2 linked regions of the Notamacropus eugenii genome follow. The protein of the gene in region 1 purifies or fractionates together with the protein of each later gene. This does not show direct contact. Links are inferred from orthologs where the notes say so. Each region holds a gene or a part of one and is shown in the gene's direction. Other genes may lie near its edges. The genes, in order: SLC7A14 and GOLM1.

What was found.
Region 2: the proteins of SLC7A14 (region 1) and GOLM1 purify together in Homo sapiens (co-immunoprecipitation; 3 studies listed by BioGRID and IntAct, with this or other methods). This does not show direct contact. The link is inferred for Notamacropus eugenii from reciprocal best matches to the Homo sapiens genes SLC7A14 and GOLM1.

Annotation. Positions count from the first base shown.
Region 1 is NC_092877.1:353,606,362-353,616,307, forward strand, and holds the start of SLC7A14 (solute carrier family 7 member 14), read left to right. Parts: upstream 1-6,267; 5' UTR 6,268-6,444; coding exon 6,445-6,748; intron 6,749-9,946. UniProt on the Homo sapiens protein: Imports 4-aminobutanoate (GABA) into lysosomes. May act as a GABA sensor that regulates mTORC2-dependent INS signaling and gluconeogenesis. The transport mechanism and substrate selectivity remain to be elucidated.
Region 2 is NC_092872.1:76,912,263-76,922,025, reverse strand, and holds the start of GOLM1 (Golgi membrane protein 1), read left to right. Parts: upstream 1-5,544; 5' UTR 5,545-6,228; intron 6,229-9,763.

The DNA of each region.
Region 1 (9,946 bases):
TCCAGTTTTCAGTTACTGTGGAGTCCTTATCCCAATAGTACATAAATTTGATTTCCAGCAAGTATTCATTTTAATTTTTGTCCTAGTAATTAATATTACTTACCAAGTATTATTCTAGTTGTTAGGAATATTATCTGAGCTCTGCTCGCAAGGAACTTCAAATCAATGGAAAAGGAGGTTTTGGGGGAGAGGGGGAGACAGTATTTCCAAAGAAAATAATACCATACAAGTTAGAGATTCAGGAAAATTTGAAGAGGAATCAAGAAGTAAAAACTAGATCCTATCATAATAATAATTATTATTATCATTTACATATTATCTTTTTTGATCTTGGGGTAACAGATAAAAGACACTATTTTCTCTTTCTTGATATGAACTATGCTATCTCAAAATAAACTGTTTCATTGTTAAATGGACAATTAATATCTCCAAGGTCAGTGACTGACTGCTTATAAATCAGCATGGCTATGTATATTCTGTGTATTTCATAAGTACCTATGAGAAAAAGCGTATTGGCAGATAGTCATAAAGATAGACTGTCAACTGATGCTTCCTCCTCATCCCATTATACCTCCTCTCCAGTGTTTTCTGTTCTCAAGTTTCTCCCTATACTAGGTAAAGGGGTCTCTTTTTATTCTACCACCTTATTTCTCTAATCAGGATATAAGTCTGAAAGTTAAGGTTTTTTTCCCAGATATTTGTGGTGCCATTGAGGTATCATTCAAACAAGAAATACACCATAAAGGTGAAGGCTCTAACATTCCAACATATCTCAGATGTGAAACCAAGTAAACTGACACTACTCCCCTGTGAACCAAACTGCCACATTTCCCCTGACTCTGTTAATGAATTAGTGTTTTCAAATACTCTGGAAGCTGATAATCATTGTACCAAGTGCTAAGTAGTTTGAATTAATAGTGTTAGTAGCAAAACCACTAATAGTGTCAGTGGCAAAACCACTCCCAAAGGGGCTTACCGAAAGAGAAGCATATTAGCATAAGGGATAGAGAAAGGGGTCCTTGGAAAGACCTGGATTCAAGTCCTTCAACTGACACAAATTAGCTGTGTGACGCTGGATAAGTCACTTAACCAGTTAGTGCTCCCAGGCACCACCCTAAGATTGTAAGATTCGGAACAGATGCCCATCTGAATTGTCTGAGGAAATTCCTCACCTTCAGGCACTTTGTACATGTTTGAAATCACAGTTCTGGTTTAAAAAAATATTTCAAAGGAAAAAGCCTTGATCATATCAGTCATATACCTAGAATTGATGCTTGATTCTAATCTGGATGAATTTCTAATAAATAGGTACATTTATAATGCTCCCATGTTCCAAGAAACTAATCATGCTATTTATTAAATTCAGTTCGTAAGAATTTATTTCTTGCCTGTTATATAAAAGACACTCTATTATAGTCTGCAGACAATGAAAATTAAGCAGCCCCTGCCCTCAGGGAGTTTATATTCTATTCATCTGTCTCTCAGTTGTGAAATTACTTTTGGGAAGTACAAAGCTGGCTTTATTGATTTTCCCCTCCTCCCCCATTTCTAGTGATTCCTTCAAACCTCCAGCATCAGATACAAAATTCTGTCTGGCATTCAGAGCCTTCACAACCTGGCCTTCCCTCCTCCTTTCCAGTTTTCTTATTCCTTACTCCCCTGCCCCTGTCTAGTGACACTGACCTTGCTATTTCTAGAACAAGACATTCCATCTCCCAACACTCCAGCTGTTTTCACTGGCTGTTCAACATTCCTGGAATGCTCTGCATCCTCATCCCCACCTCCTGTTTCCATGACTTCCTCGAAGTCCCAGCTAAATTCCACTTCCTCTGAGAAGTCTTCCCTTTTAATGCTGGCCCCTTTCCTATGTGGATTGTCTCCAATCGATTCTGTGTTTAGCACAGTGACCAGCACACAGTTAGTGCTTAATAAATGCTTATTGACTGACTAACTAACAAATCAGTGAATAGAAGTCATATACAACAGGGTAATTTCAAGAGGTAAAGAGTACTCTAGAGCTGAAAGAGACCTTAGAATTCATTTCATTCAGTTCTTTCTTTGAGAATTGAGGAAGCTGAGGAAACCAAGGCCCAGAGATGTAACTGACTTGCCCAAGATCTCACAGCTAAGAGGTAGAAGAGCCATGAACTGGTGTTCTTTCATCTCACTGAGTCTTAGAATGTCTTGGGTGTTTCAGACAGCTGAAGTCTAAATTGAAAGTTCAGGGTGAAGGTGAGGGATTTTAGATAGGAAAGTCATTTCACACATATAAGATTTATCCTGTGTAAGCTAAGGATAGCCCAAAAGATGAGTAAGACCCAGACTCCCTCCAGGTACAATAACTCACAGTTCTGGAGGACAGGTAGACTAAATGTTATTATACCCATTTTACAGATGAGAGAACTGATGATTTGACCATAAGAACTTAGTGGCTGAATCTTAGCTGTCACTGACACCCTAGGCAAGGAACACAAAATATCCCATCAAATAAAGACACACAATTGAAGGAATTGGGGAAGATCACTGGAAGTGAGGATCCCTGGGAAGAGAGACCTTGGGACCCCACTCATGGAGGAGAAACAGAAACCCCAGGATGCTGACCCCTGTGGGCAGAGATCCTGAGACCCCGTGAGGTTACGGCTAGAGAAGTTGATCCCAGGGAATGATACCAGCTGATAGCAGTGAGTGATAGCAAGGTAAGGAGACAGGGAAGACTGCACTGGAGAGAGAGGAATGCCATCTTCTAATTTCCTATTTTAGCCAATTATTATTTCTGCCCATTTGTCTGATTTGATTATGCACATTTGTTACAAAGCAAGGCTTTTGCTGAAGGGATAGAAGAAGATGAGTTAGGGGAGTGATAAACAGGAAAAAAAAGATATGAATAAAACTTTTCCTTTATTTGAAAAGCAATTAAAAGATGCAGGAGGGATACAAACGGAGCAACTTTGTTAATTGCCTCGTTAAGTTTAGTACATGCACATACATACCTATATATTTATTTTTTTAATCCATCTGTAACGTTAATTATTCTCCATAACTACTTGCTAAGCTCGTTTGTTTCTATATGGTTAAAGGAATGTAAATATCGAGTGGAGCCAAGATGGCGGAGTAGAAAGACGCACATACACATAGCTCTGAACCCACAACCCATAGAACGGCTACAGGGAAGTAACTCACGGCGAATTCCGCACCCAGAGGCCACGGAACATTGGAGCGAGGGAGATTTCTGTTCCAGAGAGACCTGCAAACCTCTCGCGGGGGGGTCCTTCGCGCTGCGGACTGGGCGCCGGGACTGGGAGCTGAGTGCAGCCCTGCCGCGGCACCGAGAGGAAAAGATCCGAGCAGGCTTCACAGATAGGATCTCCAGCGGCCACGCGGGTCCCTCCACCCACAGAGGGATCTGCAAACCTCTCGCAAAAGGTCCATCGCGCTGCAGACACAAAGCCCAGCCCAGACCTGCTGCGGCCACGGCTGCGGCACCGAGAGAAACAGATCCGAGCAGGCTTCAGGGACGGGATCTCCAGCGGCCGCACAAGTCCCTCCACCCACAGGTGACAGGGGTGGGTGAGAGAGTCTCTTTGGCGGGTCGAGAGGGGAGTGGGGTGCCCCCATAATTCAGGCCCCCCCCCCGGGAGGTAGAAGCTGAGAGGCGGCTGCAGACAGGGGCTCCCCAAGCGGGCGGGAGCCTGAATCCATTGCGGAAGGTCTGCGCATAAACCCCCTGAGGGAACTGAGCCTGAGAGGCAGCCCTGCCCCGATCTCAGCACCAGATCATAATCTCATACTGAATAGCAGCCCTGCCCCCGCCCAAAGCCCTGAGGCTGGAAGCAGCATTTGAATCTCAGACCACAAACACGGGCTGGGAGGATCAGGAGGTGAGGTGGGTGTGAGGAAAATATTCAGAGGTCAAGTCGCTGGCTGGGAAAATGCCCAGAAAAGGGAAAAGAAATAAGACTATAGAAGGTTACTTTCTTGGCGAACAGGCATTTCCTCCCTTCCTTTCTGATGAGGAAGAACAATGCTTACCATCAGGCAAAGACACAGAAATCAAGGCTTCTGTGTCCCAGCCCACCCAATGGGCTCAGGCCATGGAAGAGCTCAAAAAGAATTTTGAAAATCAAGTTAGAGAGGTGGAGGAAAAGCTGGGAAGAGAAATGAGAGACATGAAGTCAAAGCATGAACAGCAGATCAGCTCCCTGCTAAGGGAGACCCAAAAAAATGTTGAAGAAATTAACACCTTGAAAACTAGCCTAACTCAATTGGCAAAAGAGGTTCAAAAAGCCAATGAGGAGAAGAATGCTTTCAAAAGCAGAATTAGCCACATGGAAAAGGAGATTCAAAAGCTCACTGAAGAAAATAGTTCTTTCAAAATTAGAATGGCACAGATGGAGGCTAATGACTTTATGCAAAACCAAGAAATCACAGAACAAAGAGAGAAGAATGGAAAAATGGAAGATAATGTGAAATATCTCATTGGAAAAACAACAGACCTGGAAAATAGATCCAGGAGAGACAATTTAAAAATTATGGGACTACCTGAAAGCCATGATCAAAAGAAGAGCCTAGACATCATCTTTCATGAAATTATCAAGGAAAACTGCCCTGAGATTCTAGAACCAGAGGGCAAAGTAAATATTCAAGGAATCCACAGAACACCGCCTGAAAGAGATCCAAAAAGAGAAACTCCTAGGAACATTGTGGCCAAATTCCAGAGTTCCCAGGTCAAGGAGAAAATACTGCAGGCAGCTAGAAAGAAACAATTCAAGTATTGTGGAAATACAATCAGGATAACACAAGATCTAGCAGCCTCTACATTAAGGGATCGAAGGGCATGGAACAGTATATTCCAGAAGTCAAAGGAACTAGGACTAAAACCAAGAATCACCTACCCAGCAAAACTGACTAAAATACTTCAGGGGAAAAAATGGTCTTTCAATGAAATAGAGGATTTTCAAGTATTCTTGATGAAAAGACCAGAGCTGAAAAGAAAATTTGACTTTCAAACACAAGAATAAAGAGAACCATGAAAAGGTGAACAGCAAAGTGAGGTCATAAGGGACTTACTAAAGCTGAACTGTTTACATTCCTACATGGAAAGACAATATTTGTAACTCTTGAAACATTTCAGTATCTGGGTACTGGGTGGGATTACACATGCACACACGCTCACATACACAGAGACAGAGTGCACAGAGTGAATTGAATAGGATGGGATCATATCTTTAAAACAAAATGAAATCAAGCAGTGAGAGAGAAATATATTGGGAAGAGAAAGGGAGAAATTGAATGGGGCAAATTATCTCTCATAAAAGAGGCAATCAAAAGACTCATTAGTGGAGGGATAAAGAGGGGAGGTGAGAGAAAAACATGAAGTCTACTCTCATCACATTCCACTAAAGAAAAGAATAAAGTGCACACTCATTTTGGTAGGAAAACCTATCTCACAATACAGGAAAGTGGGGGATAAGGGGACAAGCAGGGTGGGGGGGATGATAGAAGGGAGGGCATGAGGAGGAGAGTGCAATTCGAGGTCGACACTCATGGGGAGGGATAGGATCAAAAGAGAATAGAAGTAATGGGGGACAGGATAGGTTGGAGGGAAATATAGTTAGTCCTATACAGCACAACTATTATGGAAGTCATTTGCAAAACTACACAGATTTGGCCTATATTGAATTGCTTGCCTTCCAAAGGGAAGGGGTGGAGAGGGAGGGAGGTAAAGAAGGTGGAACTCAAAGTGTTAGGATCAACTGTCGAGTAATGTTCTTGCCAATAGGAAATAAGAAAAACAGGTAAAGGGGTATAGAAAGCTATCTGCCCCTACAGGACAAAAGAGAAGATGGAGACAAGGGCAGAGAGGGATGATAGAAGAGAGAGCAGATTGGTCATAGGGGCAATTAGAATGCTTGGTGTTTGGGGGGGGAGGGGATAAAAGGGGAGAAAATTTGTAACCCAAAATTTTGTGAAAATGAATGTTAAAAGTTAAATAAATAAATTTAATAAAAAAAAAATAAAAAAAAAAATAAAAAAAAAAAAAAGGAATGTAAATATCACCAGGGCCTTCTGAATGTCAGTGCCCAAGAACAGAGATCCAATGGCCAGATCCTAGTTATGGCCCTCAGCTGAGCTGAGACTAAACCACAGTCCTCCTGGCCTCTTGTTCCTTCCACTACGCCTTGGCTCTTCAGACCCAACATGTTGTTTCCACATGATCTCACTCATCCTTTTCTTTTGTCCTTTTTCTTTCTAGGGTTTCCCACAGGACTCTAAGCTTCAGGGAAAAGAGGAAGCCGTGGCTAAAGAATGTGGCTGTGGGGCCCCCTGGATCTTTTCTGAAAGGAGAGTCTCTCCTCCCTTGAAGCTGATGTGCTCCTGAGCCATTGACTGAGCCTTCCAATCTCTCCAAGCAGCTGGCATCTGTCTCCATCCCTGTTGGTCACAATGAGTGGCTTGTTTGCCTCTCTGGACCCCCGGCGGGTACAGTGGGGGGCTGCTTGGTATGCCATGCACTCTCGGATCCTTCGCACCAAGCCTGTGGAGTCAATGCTGGAAAGCACAGGTGGCACCACATCTCATGGGACCAAGTTGGCCCAGGTGCTCACCACTGTAGACCTCATCTCCCTTGGGGTTGGCAGCTGTGTGGGCACCGGCATGTATGTGGTGTCTGGGCTTGTGGCAAAAGAAATGGCAGGACCTGGTGTGATCGTGTCCTTTATCATCGCAGCGGTGGCTTCTATCCTATCAGGTGAGCAGCTCAGTCTCGGGGTCAATGTTGGGGAAGAGGCAGAGTTGGGAGGTTAGGGCAAGGAGAATCACTTTGGTACATCATTTTCAGTTGCCCTCCCAGAGCTGAGGGTGTTGAGATAGCAGAAGCAGAGTAGACAGGGCTAAGAAATAAGATGGCAAAGAATAAAGCTATTCCAACTGACACTTCACTGAATAAATGAATGAATGAATGAATGAATGAATGAATGAATGAATGAATAAATGAATGAATAAATGAAAAGAATTTATTCAGTAGTTACTATGTAAATTAAATTTAAAAAGCACTAATTAAGCACCTACTACATGCCAGATACTTTGCTACATGCTCAGGTTAAAAAAAAAAAAAACCAAACCAAAGTTTTATACAAAAAAAATATGCCTAGTTCCAAACTCAGATTTCTCTGATATAAGTCTCATTTGCAGTATATAGAAGGAATTGCTTCAAATTTGCAATAAGAGCCATTCCCGAATTGACAAATGGTCAAAGGATATGAACGAGCAGCGATCCAGCTTCACAACAAGTGGTCCCATGTTGCTGGAGTCCAGAGTTCTGGGTCTTGGAAGCACAAGACCAGTTCTGCCCGGAGAAAGAGTGAGCTCCTGGAGGCAGGGATCGTTTCATTCTTTACTTCAAATGTGGGTGTTTTTCTTTAAGCTGTGGTCATGAAGATTTAAACCTCTGCCCTCACTTTTGCTTAAAGATCTCCAGGAAGGGGAAACCCATGCCCTCTGAGTGGCCCATTCCCCCTTGAGAGAGCTCTCATCATTAGGGAGGTTTGCTTGACGCAGAGGCTAAATTGGCTTCGATGCTCCTACTCAATGTTGGCTTAATGTTTTGATACAGGGACTACAATTTAGGAAAGATGTGGGAAACAGCAAGTTCAGCAGGACCTGTGCCAATCTCCCAGCACCCACACCTGGCACTCAGATACAATTCTGTTATGCAACAAGAGAACCAGCTTCCCTCCCATCTTCTCCTTTTTGCCCTGCTCCTCCCCCTACATACACACATGCACACACACACACACATTCACACATTCACACAGACACACTCATATTACACACTCATTCTCTCACACACTCACATGCATACACTCACATAGTCTCATACATATACATACACACACATATACACACAAACATATATATTCATACACACACATATACACAATGGAATATTTGGATAAAGTATAAGCATGGGATCAAGCCAACTGGTTTTTATCCATTGAAAAACTGTCAGTAAAGCAGCTTGTAGCAGTGGGGCACAGTGGAAAGGGCACTGGCTCTGGAGTCATCAGACCGGGATGCTTACTTCTGATGCTTACTGACTGTGTGACTTTAGACAATTCTCTTCACCTCTTAGAGGCTCAGGCTCATCATCTGTAAAACAGGGTTGGCTGAGGTCCCTTCCAGTCCTAGATCTCTGACCCTGATTTCTTGAACTGTGAAAGCAGAGAGATTTCTGATTTTAAGAGTTCCAGGTAAAGATAAAGATAAGACCTGTATTTTGCTACTTCAAGATATCAAAGAATTCTGCCTGGTAATGAGCCTAGCCTTTCTCACTTGGCTTTTATAAATACTCATTTCCACTCTCGGCTGCTTCTCCATTAATCTTGTGCTTCTCTAATTTTTTAAGAGTTCTTCATAGTAATGGGGATAAATAACACATTTCAATGTGTGCCTAGTCAGCATTGTTGAAGTCCCTTTTGTTAATGGGCAATGACAAATTAAGAGCACCTGTGCTTTTCTCAAACTCTGAAGCCAGAGAGCAAAGCTCACGTCCTAGTGATGTTTTTCAGCTGCCTTTCAGAATCTGGAATTGACAAGGGTTCTGCTGCTATCAAGAGTAAGAAAAAAAATTAACAAAGTTCTTTAAGATTGTTCAAAAAGGGGATTCCAGAAACATTTCCTAAAGACTGATATCAAAACTAAGGATGGTAGATCTTTTTACAGTAAGAGCACAGTTGACCAAAACACTGAATTACCCAGGGCTTTACCTGTATTCAGGGGTGTGCTGGTAAATGTTTAACAACCAGATCTCTGAAAAGCAGGAGGAAGGAGAACCACACACTTTTAAGCGTAGTCTATGTTAGTAACACTTTCTCCATCACTTTCTAAAGTCTAGATAACAAAAAAATTTTAATCAAACCCTGGTTTGTAGTGTTTGCTGATTTCTGAGATATGAATGCTCACACTGAAAATTTGATGATCATCTCCAGTGAGACTGTATGAGTTGGCTCCTGTTTGTACTCAACATTTATTTTCTCAATGTTTTATTGATGATTTTCCAAATCACTTTCATTTCCTAATGCTGTCCCCAGCTAACCAAACTCACCTGTGTGACAAAGAATTAACATGTTGTCCATGTCTGAAGGGCATAGTTGTCATTCTGCACCTGTAGCTCACCTTCACTAGTCCCCAGGAGGAAAGATTATCATTGCATTAATTAGAATGTGTGTTTTTTTCTTTACATCACTGTAGTCATGAAAATTGTTCTCTTGCAGCTACTTGCTTTGTTTGCATCAGTTCATGCAAATCTTCTTAAGTTTCTCTGAATTTTTCATATTTTTCATTTCTTACAATGCCATAATATTCATAGCATTCATGTAGCATAATTTGTTCTTCCATTCCCCCATCAATGGGCTTTGTTTTGGGGTTTGCTTTATTGCTACAACAAATAATGCTGCTCTGAATGTTTTGATACACACACACAGTCACCTTTCCTTCTGTCTTTACACTTTGGAGTAAAAGACTAGCATTGGTATTATTTGGTCAAAAGATATGAACATTTGGGTCACTTTGGAAACACAGTTCCAAAAAACGTTCTAGATGAGCTGGAACAACAGCATATTCAGGCTACATTTGTCTCCTAGGGAGAAGCAAATCACCAAAAATGAAAACGAACAAACCCATACTGAAGATTTCATTGTGGGGGTGGGGACTGACCTGTGGTTTTACTGAAATAGAAACAAGCAAACTCTGTACAAACAAGACAAAGATAGGTAGGAAAAGCTGGTAGTAGTCTCAGAGGGAAGGCACTAATATCAAGGAAGACTAGAGATCACCTTGCCCACCTCCCTCATGTTACAGATGAGGAAGCCGAAGGTCAGAGAGTCTCAGGATGAATGTGCAGCCCCCTGCAAGGAAGCATGAGCCAGATGTTTGAGGATCTGAAAAT
Region 2 (9,763 bases), on another chromosome or scaffold:
AAAGACCTAGAAAGCTTTCTCTGATTTCCAACTACTGCAAAGGAAGATGTTGGTTTGCCTTTCTAATTCTCACTTCTCAGAACATCTGATAGCCTTTTTCCACAGTAGAAGCTGAAAGGGCATGAGCCGATGAGCAAGAGTTCCTTTTTTGATGTCATTAACAGCTAAAAAACACCATAAGTTCTCCACTAAACCTACTTTATGAATAATGGGACCTGTGATGAAACCAGAATATTAATACTAGACTCAGGAGAGCACTCATTTTGCCTTGGATCAGTAAATAGAAACGTGGACTGTACATAAGGATCTCTACTCATTTTGCCTTGGATCAGTAAATAGAAACATGGACTGTACATAAGGATCTCTACTCATTTTGCCTTGGATCAGTAAATAGAAACGTGGACTGTACATAAGGATCTCTACTGGCAACATATTGACTTAGTTTTAAAATGTAATGTTATCTATGATTCATTGTATTTTTATTTATTATGTAAATATTTCCCAATTCTGTTTTAACCTTTTAATCTGCTTCTGCTGCAAATGGGAGTGTTGCTAGCTGCAAAGGGCAGTGTCATGTTTGACACCTATCTTACATCACGGGGGCCCTGGGCTAAACGTCTTCCAGAAAGCAAGACAAAAAAATGGATGTTCAATAATGAGGAAGAATTTGAAATATTTTTAGAAAGAAAACCAGAGTCTTCCCTTGGGAGGTGAGGAAGGGAGAAAATTTGAAACAACTAAAAAAAAAAATGAATGTCAAAAATTGTCTTTACATGCAATTGGGGGGAGGAATAAAATATTTTTAAAAAAGAAAAGAAAGAAAATCAGAACTGAAGAGATTACTTGCCTCTCACACACCCCAAACAACAGAAATACCAGAGGAGTGAATAAGTGAAGCAGGCAAAGACAGCAGTGTTGTCACAGTAGTGACAGCAGAGAGATCAGCCTTCTTTCTAAGTGTACTTGAAGAAATAGGGGAGAGGGCAAGAATCTGGGAGACTGAAGAATGAAGAGATGAACAGGGGGTGGTCTGGACAGGACCTGGTGACACCCTGCTACAAGTGAAAGCTTCTTTTCTGGGACTACATTACAACATGAGAGGGTACATATAAGGGAGAATGGGGAAGGATAGAGAGGAGTGAGGGATTGGCAGGGGGCAAATCAAGGGTTAGCAGTGAGGGGAAGATGAACTCTGTGATCTCAAAAAGAGGAGGTTAACAGGGAGTAGGTGAAGAGGAAGGTAGAAAGCTCAAAAAGGGGAAAGAAAGGAAAGAGGCCTTACTTTGGAGGTGGGAGGTTGTTCCACTGATGAATGCTCTAATGGGTGAAGAAAAATGATTGGTAAAGGGAAATGGGCACTTCACACTGGATGGGGGATTTGGTCCTCAGAAAGTCTTCTTGGAATTCCTAGGGGCACCTGACACTGGAAGAGTAGGGAAGCCTGGACACGGGGAGGATATTTCTAGGCAAAGATAGAAAAAAAAAAAAGGTCAACAAGAGAGAGTATACTCTCTTTGAGTGGGTGATGGGTGGGCAGCATAATCAGGGACGTAGTGGGAAATGGCACAACAGAAGAGGGGAATTCATGAAGCAAACCCTACAAAACAATGGCAGAAAGCATACAGAGGGGAGAGCCTAGAATGGATCCCTTGGAAGTTTTTATTACATGAAGAATACAAAGAGAGAAACCAGATAATTTTAGGAGACATGAATCAGAAAATGAGGGTTCAGAGCAGAGGTTCCCCAATTTATTTGACCTACTGCTCCCTTTTAAAAAAAATTCAGTGCACCCCCAATCTACTTTATTTGATCCATTAATGTTTTTTTTAATTTGCATCCTTTCAAATAAATATAAATTAAAAAAAAATGATCCATCTTAAATTTAATAACTCATTATAAATTTTTAGGCTTTTTTTCCTGCATTGAAATTTTGATGATACAATATGTAGTATTGTATTGTAAACAAGCTATTACAAGCACATATTTCTGCCCATCGTGCTGGACCTCCTGACAATGTGCAATATGCTTCCCTGCCAACACTTGCTTGTTAAGACCTGTCAGTAGACTTGACCACTAAGCAGTTATAATCTGCATTTTATATGTTTATTTGGAAAATAATGAAATCACTACTAGTTTAACTCTTACATAACAGATGAAATATATATGAATGGTTTTTCAAAATTTTCTTATTTTCTGTTCTTTCTTTGTGCTTTTACTGCCCCTTATTTGTATTTAATGCCCCTCAATTGTACCCCCCTAGATCATTCTAGTGCCTCCTAGGGGGCACACATTTAGAGCATTGATTGACTACTTTGGGAACCTATGAAACAGAAAGAGAAGATAAATGATGAAGAGAGCAAGAGAAGCTGTTTTTGAAAAGTGGTGCAAAAAACCTGGATTTCAAAACTGTAGGAACAGGACTAGCTGAAGAGGAGAAGAGGAAGGGGAAATCTATTTGGTTAACAGAAGAAAAAAGAAGAAATATATAACCAGAAAAAAAGCAGGAGAGAAAAGGGAATTAACAAAATCCTAAAAAAGAGAAAGGGGTATTAATTGAGAAGAGGGGATCAGGGGAGAGTGGAAGAGAGACAGTGAGAACTGGGTCACCTCAAAAAAAGATGAAAGTCATAAACAAACATACTACCGTGTTTCCAGCAGAAGAGGGAACTTGAAACTGAAAAGTTTCAGCACAGACAACATTAATGTATCTAGAATGAGAAAGGAAATGGTCAAATGGGAAAAAAACATTCTTTGTATCAAGTTTCTCTGATCAGAGTTTGGTATCATGATAACTATATCTATATCTATGTGTAATAGCCATTACACAATATATAAATGGTTAAAAGTTATGAACAAACAGTTCTCAAAAGAACTGCAAAGTGTTCTCAACCACGGGAAAAATGCTTCAAAACACTAATAAAAAGAGAAAAGCAAATCAAAACAACTTCAAGGTTTCACCTCACACCTGGCAAATTGGCAAAACTGACAAAAAATAGTAAATATTGGAGGGGTTGTAGAAAGATAGGTAGGCCAATACATTGTTGGTGGAGCTATGAAATAGTACAATCATTTTGGAAAGCAATTTGGGAATCATGCAAGTAAAGTGACCAAAAATGTCCATACATTTGAACCAGAGACTCCATTATTGGATTTATACATTAAGGAAGCTATCAATAAGGAAAAAAGTCCCCATATACTCCAAAATATTTATAGCAGCACTTTTTGTGATATCTAAGAATTATAAACAAAGCAGATGCCTATCAATTGGGTAACAGCTAAACAAATTGTGGTACATGAATGTAATGGAATTGTGCTATAAGAAATGATGCATATGATAAATACAGAAATGAATTTAAAGATTTACAGAGTGATAAGCAGAGCCAAGAAAACAATATATAAGGAAACTATAATAATGTAAATGGAAAGAATGACACATGAAAAGCTCAAAAATAAATGTAACAAAATAAAAAAGATCAAGCAAGACTCAGAAGAAGAAGAACGACAAGATATCCCCAATATACCCCTTCATGAAGGTAGGAGATTCACAGGTGTTTTTAGACTTTTTCAATGTATTGATCAGTCGTACTGACTACCCTTTCCCCCCAAATATTTGTCATTTGGGATGACTTTCTAGGAGGAGGAGGAGAGCGATATATGGAATACTACGATAATGTAAGAAATAGAAAAATAGGTAAAAACTTATTAAAAAACAAACAAAGCACTGTCTGGACTGGAGATTTGTGTACACGTGTAAGCCAAGGGCTTCCTCCTCTAATAAAGTACCCAAGTATACTCTGGAAACTTCTCACTTTCTTGGCACTTTGCTCCCACTCAAGTTCAATCTAGGATCTACAGTATCTGGAATTTTACCAAAGGTAAAAAAAATATGGAAGGTAGTTAACCAGTTCTTCTCATAAGCACTCACAATGGTACTCCCTCCTAAAGTCCTTCTGTACCACGTAGCCCTCCTCTAATCTGAATCCTCCTTACCTTCTCCCTAACTCAGGTCTTTCCAGCAGATGGTGCTCATTATTTTATCTCCAGGGGACCAGCTCTCAGATAGTTAGCATAGTGTTTAAGCCCTTTCTAGCCTGCAGGCCACATTCCCTTCAGTCTTTTGAAACCTTAAGTGGTTTGTATTTATATGGATGTACACCAACCCACTCTGGAGCTCCATGGCCTCATCCTCCACATAATTAGTATGGTCTGAGGAACAAATCTTTAGACAATTTAAATGAATGTTTTTCCACTTCTGGGTAGGCTCTTGATAACTGTCTCAGTTGTCTCTTTCTACCAGTTACTGGCTGTGCTTCCTAGCCCCAGCCCCCTCTCTTCCCATTAGCTCTTGGGGTTAAGGGGACTAGCCTGCTCTCTTAATTCCTTTCCATCTCCCATCTTTCTTTACAGCAACTGGGCTACATTACGCAAAGTATCCTTGTCTGATCCTTCAACGCTCTTAAAAAAAAAAAAAAAAGCACTGGCCAAGCTACTCTTACTGCTTCCCCTAAGGGTGAAGATTTATGTCTTTAATATAGATAGATTCCAGGGCCATAGAAACAAATCCTAAAGTGAACTGAGATTCTCCCAGTTTCCTCAAACTGAATCCATTAGCTGGAAATGGAGGTGGGTGGTGGGAGGATTGTGATGGATGATTCAGGATAAACTACATAACCTTTAGTCTCTTCCAATTCGGAAAGTCTATTGTTCTAGGATTTAAATATTTTTAAAAGAATTCTCTTAAACCAAGTGCTGCCATTCAGGATTTTTCCATTTTAAATAACTGTTCTAAAATCAAAGACATCAAAGACTGTGATATGCTAGAGAGGAAAGCATCAGGCATAAGACCCGGGCAAATCTGTGACTAGTCAAAGTTCATTTTTGCAGTTCCAAAGGTATTTCTTCTGTCCCTTTCCCTTTTGTTTCTGCTTTGAGGCAGCCTCCCATCAAAACCTGTTCTCTGGGACTGATTTGATGATCAGGCATTTCATTTAGCCTGAATCACTTTGAGTTACTTTTCCTAAGGACATCTGTATGTTAAGCCTTATCTCTAATTTTGGAACACGATTTTGTCCTTAGTTAAAAGAATGTCAGGCATCAAGAGGCAGGTAGAGGAGGTATTTTTATTTTCCCCAACAGGGCTTTTTGAAATCCCAACTAAATAGGCACAGACAAGGCCTTCAAAGTCCAGGTCAAGCTTACGGAGGCTACGGGCACCTCTTTCATTTGAAAGGACCATGTAATGCAAAGGCTGGATGGCAATGTGCCATTTCCAGAACATACAGCTTAGCCTAACAGCTTGAGAGAAAACAACAGTGCGAAATTCACACCAACTGGAAATGCCTTAGGGGAGACATCTCTATGGGTGTAAGAATGCTCCAGTGGGCAAACCTCCCCCCACCCCCTTCTCTCGGGACTTTTTTCCTTCCTAAGGTAAAGTAGTCTGTAACGTAGGGACCCCTTCCGCAGGACCAAGGTCACTGACCATCGCTCCACTCTTCCTCTCCCTTTTTACCCAAATTTTGCTGCACTGGCAGCGAAGGTGATGCAATCAAATTCTTAAGGACTAGGTGCAGTCAGATTCCGCTGGATCTAGAGGTGGAGGTGGGGCGGCTGGGACCGAGGGGAGGAAGGGAGGGGCTCCGCTTGGCACTGGACGGGTGGGTGAGAAACTTGTTTTTCCGGAGGAGGGGCAGCAGAGGGGCGACCGAGCTAGCGCGAGGGAGGAAGGGGGCCGCAGCAGCCGCGGGGCACGCGCTGGCTCCTGGCTGCCTCCAGGGCCCCTCGGTGCCAGCTTCCCGCCTCTTCCCCCTCCACCTCGCCCAGCCCCGTTAGCTGGCGATCGCGGCCGGGGCGCAGAGCCTTGGCAGCCCCTTTCTCCACGCTCCACCTTTCCCTCTCCCGGCAGCAGACGCGTCCGGCCAGCTGCGCGGCTCTGCCCCGAAGGGCGGGGATTTTGCTTCGGGCGGCCGCGACTGGGCTGGGGTTGGAGGAGTCAAAGGGCGCAGGCTCCCTCCGGGGTGGACGGACGGACGGAGGAGGGGTGGCTGCTCGGCTCCGGGCACTAGGCGAGGGCGTAGAGGAGGAGGAGGAGGAGGAAGGCTGCCCGGAGATCGGAGCGGGCGCGAAGCCGGGGGCGGGGAAGGTCCAGTGGCGGAGGCCCGCAGAGCTCCAGCCCGGTAGGGAGAGGGCCCGGGGAGCCACGAGCCACCCGATCCCGGAGCGGAGAAGGTGAGTCCGAGGAGTTGGACCAGCCCGCTTTCTGGGCGCCCTCTGTCCTTCCCTCCTTCCTTTGCTCATCTCCACCCCCACCCCCTTCCCCATCTTTCCTTCTCTTCCTTTCTCTTTCCTCTGCTGGAGTAACTTAGACCTTAGGGAGCCCCCCCCCCCCGAAATCCCCTCCCCATGTATTTCTGTCCCTTACTGGCGTGTTGTTGGTGTTCTGCTTTGTTTTATTTTCAGTTGAGTTACGGGTCCGTGCCTGGGTTTTATGGTGGGGGTAGCCTTCACTTCCACGTTAGACCGGACATCAGTTTCCTATCGCTGGAGAGAAGGTGCCCCTCCTCCCCTGCCAGTCCTGGATCCTCTTGCCCTTCTTCCCCTCCGGGAGGAGTCTGGCATTCTTTCCAAAGCTCCTCTGCTCCAGTGGAGGTGAATCTCCCCCCCCGCCCCCCCTGGGTTCCTCATTAGCATGCTTGTGGTTTACTGATTCTTTTTTCCTTGGGTTCTGTCATGAATGTTAATGTCAAAAAATAAAATCCCTCCCCATCCCCGGAAAATGAAGTTCCTGCTCTCGTTGTGAACGGATATTTGCTCAGCTGATACGGAGCGTGGGAGAAGAAGGAGTTCTTTCCCTCTTCCTGCGTCCCTTAGCCTGGCTGTCTTTATTGTATTTTCCTACGTTAGCCCAGGGTAGGCGCTGATTTGGGGCAGGTGCCCTTGGGGGAGAGGGTGTCTGTGATGGTGATGGCGGGGGCGGGGGGGGGGGAGATGACCCTGGGCTTCCTGCGGTCCGCGGGCACCTTGCTGGCTGCTGGTCTGCCTCGGCGTCCCGTCTGCCTCCGAGATCTCCCTTAAGCTAATTTCGTGAAACCTGAAAGAGAGGAAACCGGCTGGATGACGCTGTCTGGAGGGCACGATTAATGGTGCTGGGGCGAGGCAAAACTTTAGCGCTGCTCAAGTGCAAACCCACCTCGAACCGCACTTTCCTTTTCTGGAATGCGTCTTAAAGTACCAGTGTTATCATTGACCGACATGGATGGAAGCAAGGGTTTTACAAATCGTTTTTCACTGCCTTTTTTAACATTACTGATGGAATTGTCTTTGTGATATTGGGAAGCTGAAAACAACCCATTTTCATAAGACTGTACCTTTTTCAGTTTGGGAGAGCGGAACTTTCTGTGGCTTTACTTACCCCTGTTGGGTGTTCGGTGGGGGGGAGGGCTTCCAGCTCTAAGTTAAAGTAATACCTAAGGAAAATTGAAGAGGGAGTGGGCGAATCCCTGAAAGGGCCATTTATCCAGGAGAACATTCAGCAGCTGTCATTTGGAGTTGTCTTGTATTACTTAGTTTAAGGATATCAGGTGGGTACCAATTTAAGCCTTGGCAGTGTGTGGTGCAGAGTGGAGTGGAGCCTGGAGTGAAGAAGAAGACGCATTTTCCTAAGTTCAGATCTGGCCTCAGACACTAACTGTGTGACCCTGGGCAAGTCACTGAACCGTTTTTGCTTCAGTTTCTTCCTCTGTAAAATGAACTGGAAAAGGAAATGGCAAATCACTCCACATCTTTGTCAAAGAAACCCTAAATGGGGTCATGGAATGTTATGCATGACTCAACAGCCACAACATGTTTCCAGATTTTTCCAGACTGACTGCCACTGTTGATATACCCATGTAATGCCTATCCTTTTGATTCTTTCACAGTCACCACTGATGCTCCTCTCCCTCATCTTTTAAAGTGACTTTTATATAAGGTAATTCCTTATGAGAGGAGAATAGTTTATTTCTAGACTATAACTATTAATTTGTTAAAGGGATAATTTGAATGATGGGATATCATGGTTTAGAAGCAGAAACTGGAATTTAAAACAATTTTGAATTTCTGCCAAGAGTATCAGGCCCTTACTAGGCTGACTACATGTTACTTACAAGAATGAAAGAGATTGTTTAGAGGGCAAAAAAAAAATAGGTAGGGAAGGATTGTTACCATAATATTATAAGGGATGTAGACATTTAAGTTTTGCAAAGCAAAGGCTTTATTTGCATTCTCATTTTGTTTCTTTATCTGTAAGACTGGGATAAAAATAGAAGAACACCCTTGAGCCTTGTGTGAGAATAAAATGAGTTGTCCTTTGATAGCATGATATAAATGTTAGGTGTTATAATTTTTATTATTTTTTTCATTCTTTTATATGCAGTGGAATTCAGATGGAAATGATTCTATAACAGGTTACTATTGTACAGACTCCTTTTGTTTGTTTAATGTTTCATGACTTCAGAGGTAGATAGAACGATTGCTTTCTGTGACTGAACAAAAGTGTTGGCAGGTAAGTTCATCTTTGTAGGTTTACTGAAAGTATCTTTGGGGCAATTCCAGTAGCAGACAAGATCATAGGGATGAAATATGCTTCATCTTGTGCACATATGGTTTTGATTTTTTTTCTGTTGAGCCTCTATAATTTGAGATCTTTTCGTTCTACATATTTTTTTTTTAAATCGTATTTTAAAAATTCCAAACTTAAACTCCAAATAAAATGGCATTTCCATAGACATAATATAAGGGAAGAAAAGGACTCTTTTCTTCAAATATGCAAGAAGTTTGATATGTGACTTTCAGAGCTATCCTATGTGTCTGATTCTTCCTGGTCTTCTGTTCTGTGCATTTAAAAGTAGATGCTTCAGTCCTCTACCCTTCTTCTCTCTCCTCTCTCTTCTTCCCATCTTTCCTTCCTTCCCTACTGCCTCTCTTCTCTCTGGAAAAGAAAAAGAAAAACAAAGCCCTTGTAAAAAATATGGCAAGTTGACAAAATAACGCTCTACATTGGCCTTGTCTGAAAACGTATGTGTCTGCATCTTGGGTCTGTCATCTTTCAGTCTGACAGTGTGTAGCATGCTTCATCATCAGTCTTTCATTCTGCATAGTCTCGAGGTTATGAATATTTAGCATGCTAATATCTATTTAAATGTTTTTAATTTTTTTATGGGTCACTGTTATACTTGGTTGATTCTGTGATGACGCTTTGGTTCTAATAGTTTATTTTGCTGAATTCTCAAGAATGTTTTGAGATTAGTCTTTGCAGCATTTGTTGATTTATAAAGGAATATATGTTATTTTTATTCATCTCATTCTTTGACTGAGTTCAAATAAAAATGGTTCTGGGACAGGCTGTTATATTATTCTTTTGTAGTTAATGGCCTGTAGACTGTTGAACAGATAGATACAATAATGACTTTTTATAATTGAATGAAAGTATTAGGACATAAACTCACCTTCCGAAGGCTCATGGAAAGCATCTTTGGGACAAATCCAAGAGGAGACAATATCACAAGAATTATATATACCTCTAAGATGCTTTTTTTTTTATAGGATTTTGATTTCTTCTGCTAAGTCTATGCGTTTTGAAAAGTTTTTGTTACATGTAGCTTGGAGATTGTGATTAATCATTGCTATCTATTACTATTCTTTAATGTTTATAGTTAAGTATTGGGCTTCGGTGACTGTGAGCAACAATTATGTTTATAACAGTGGTCTGGTTACAATTCAGATT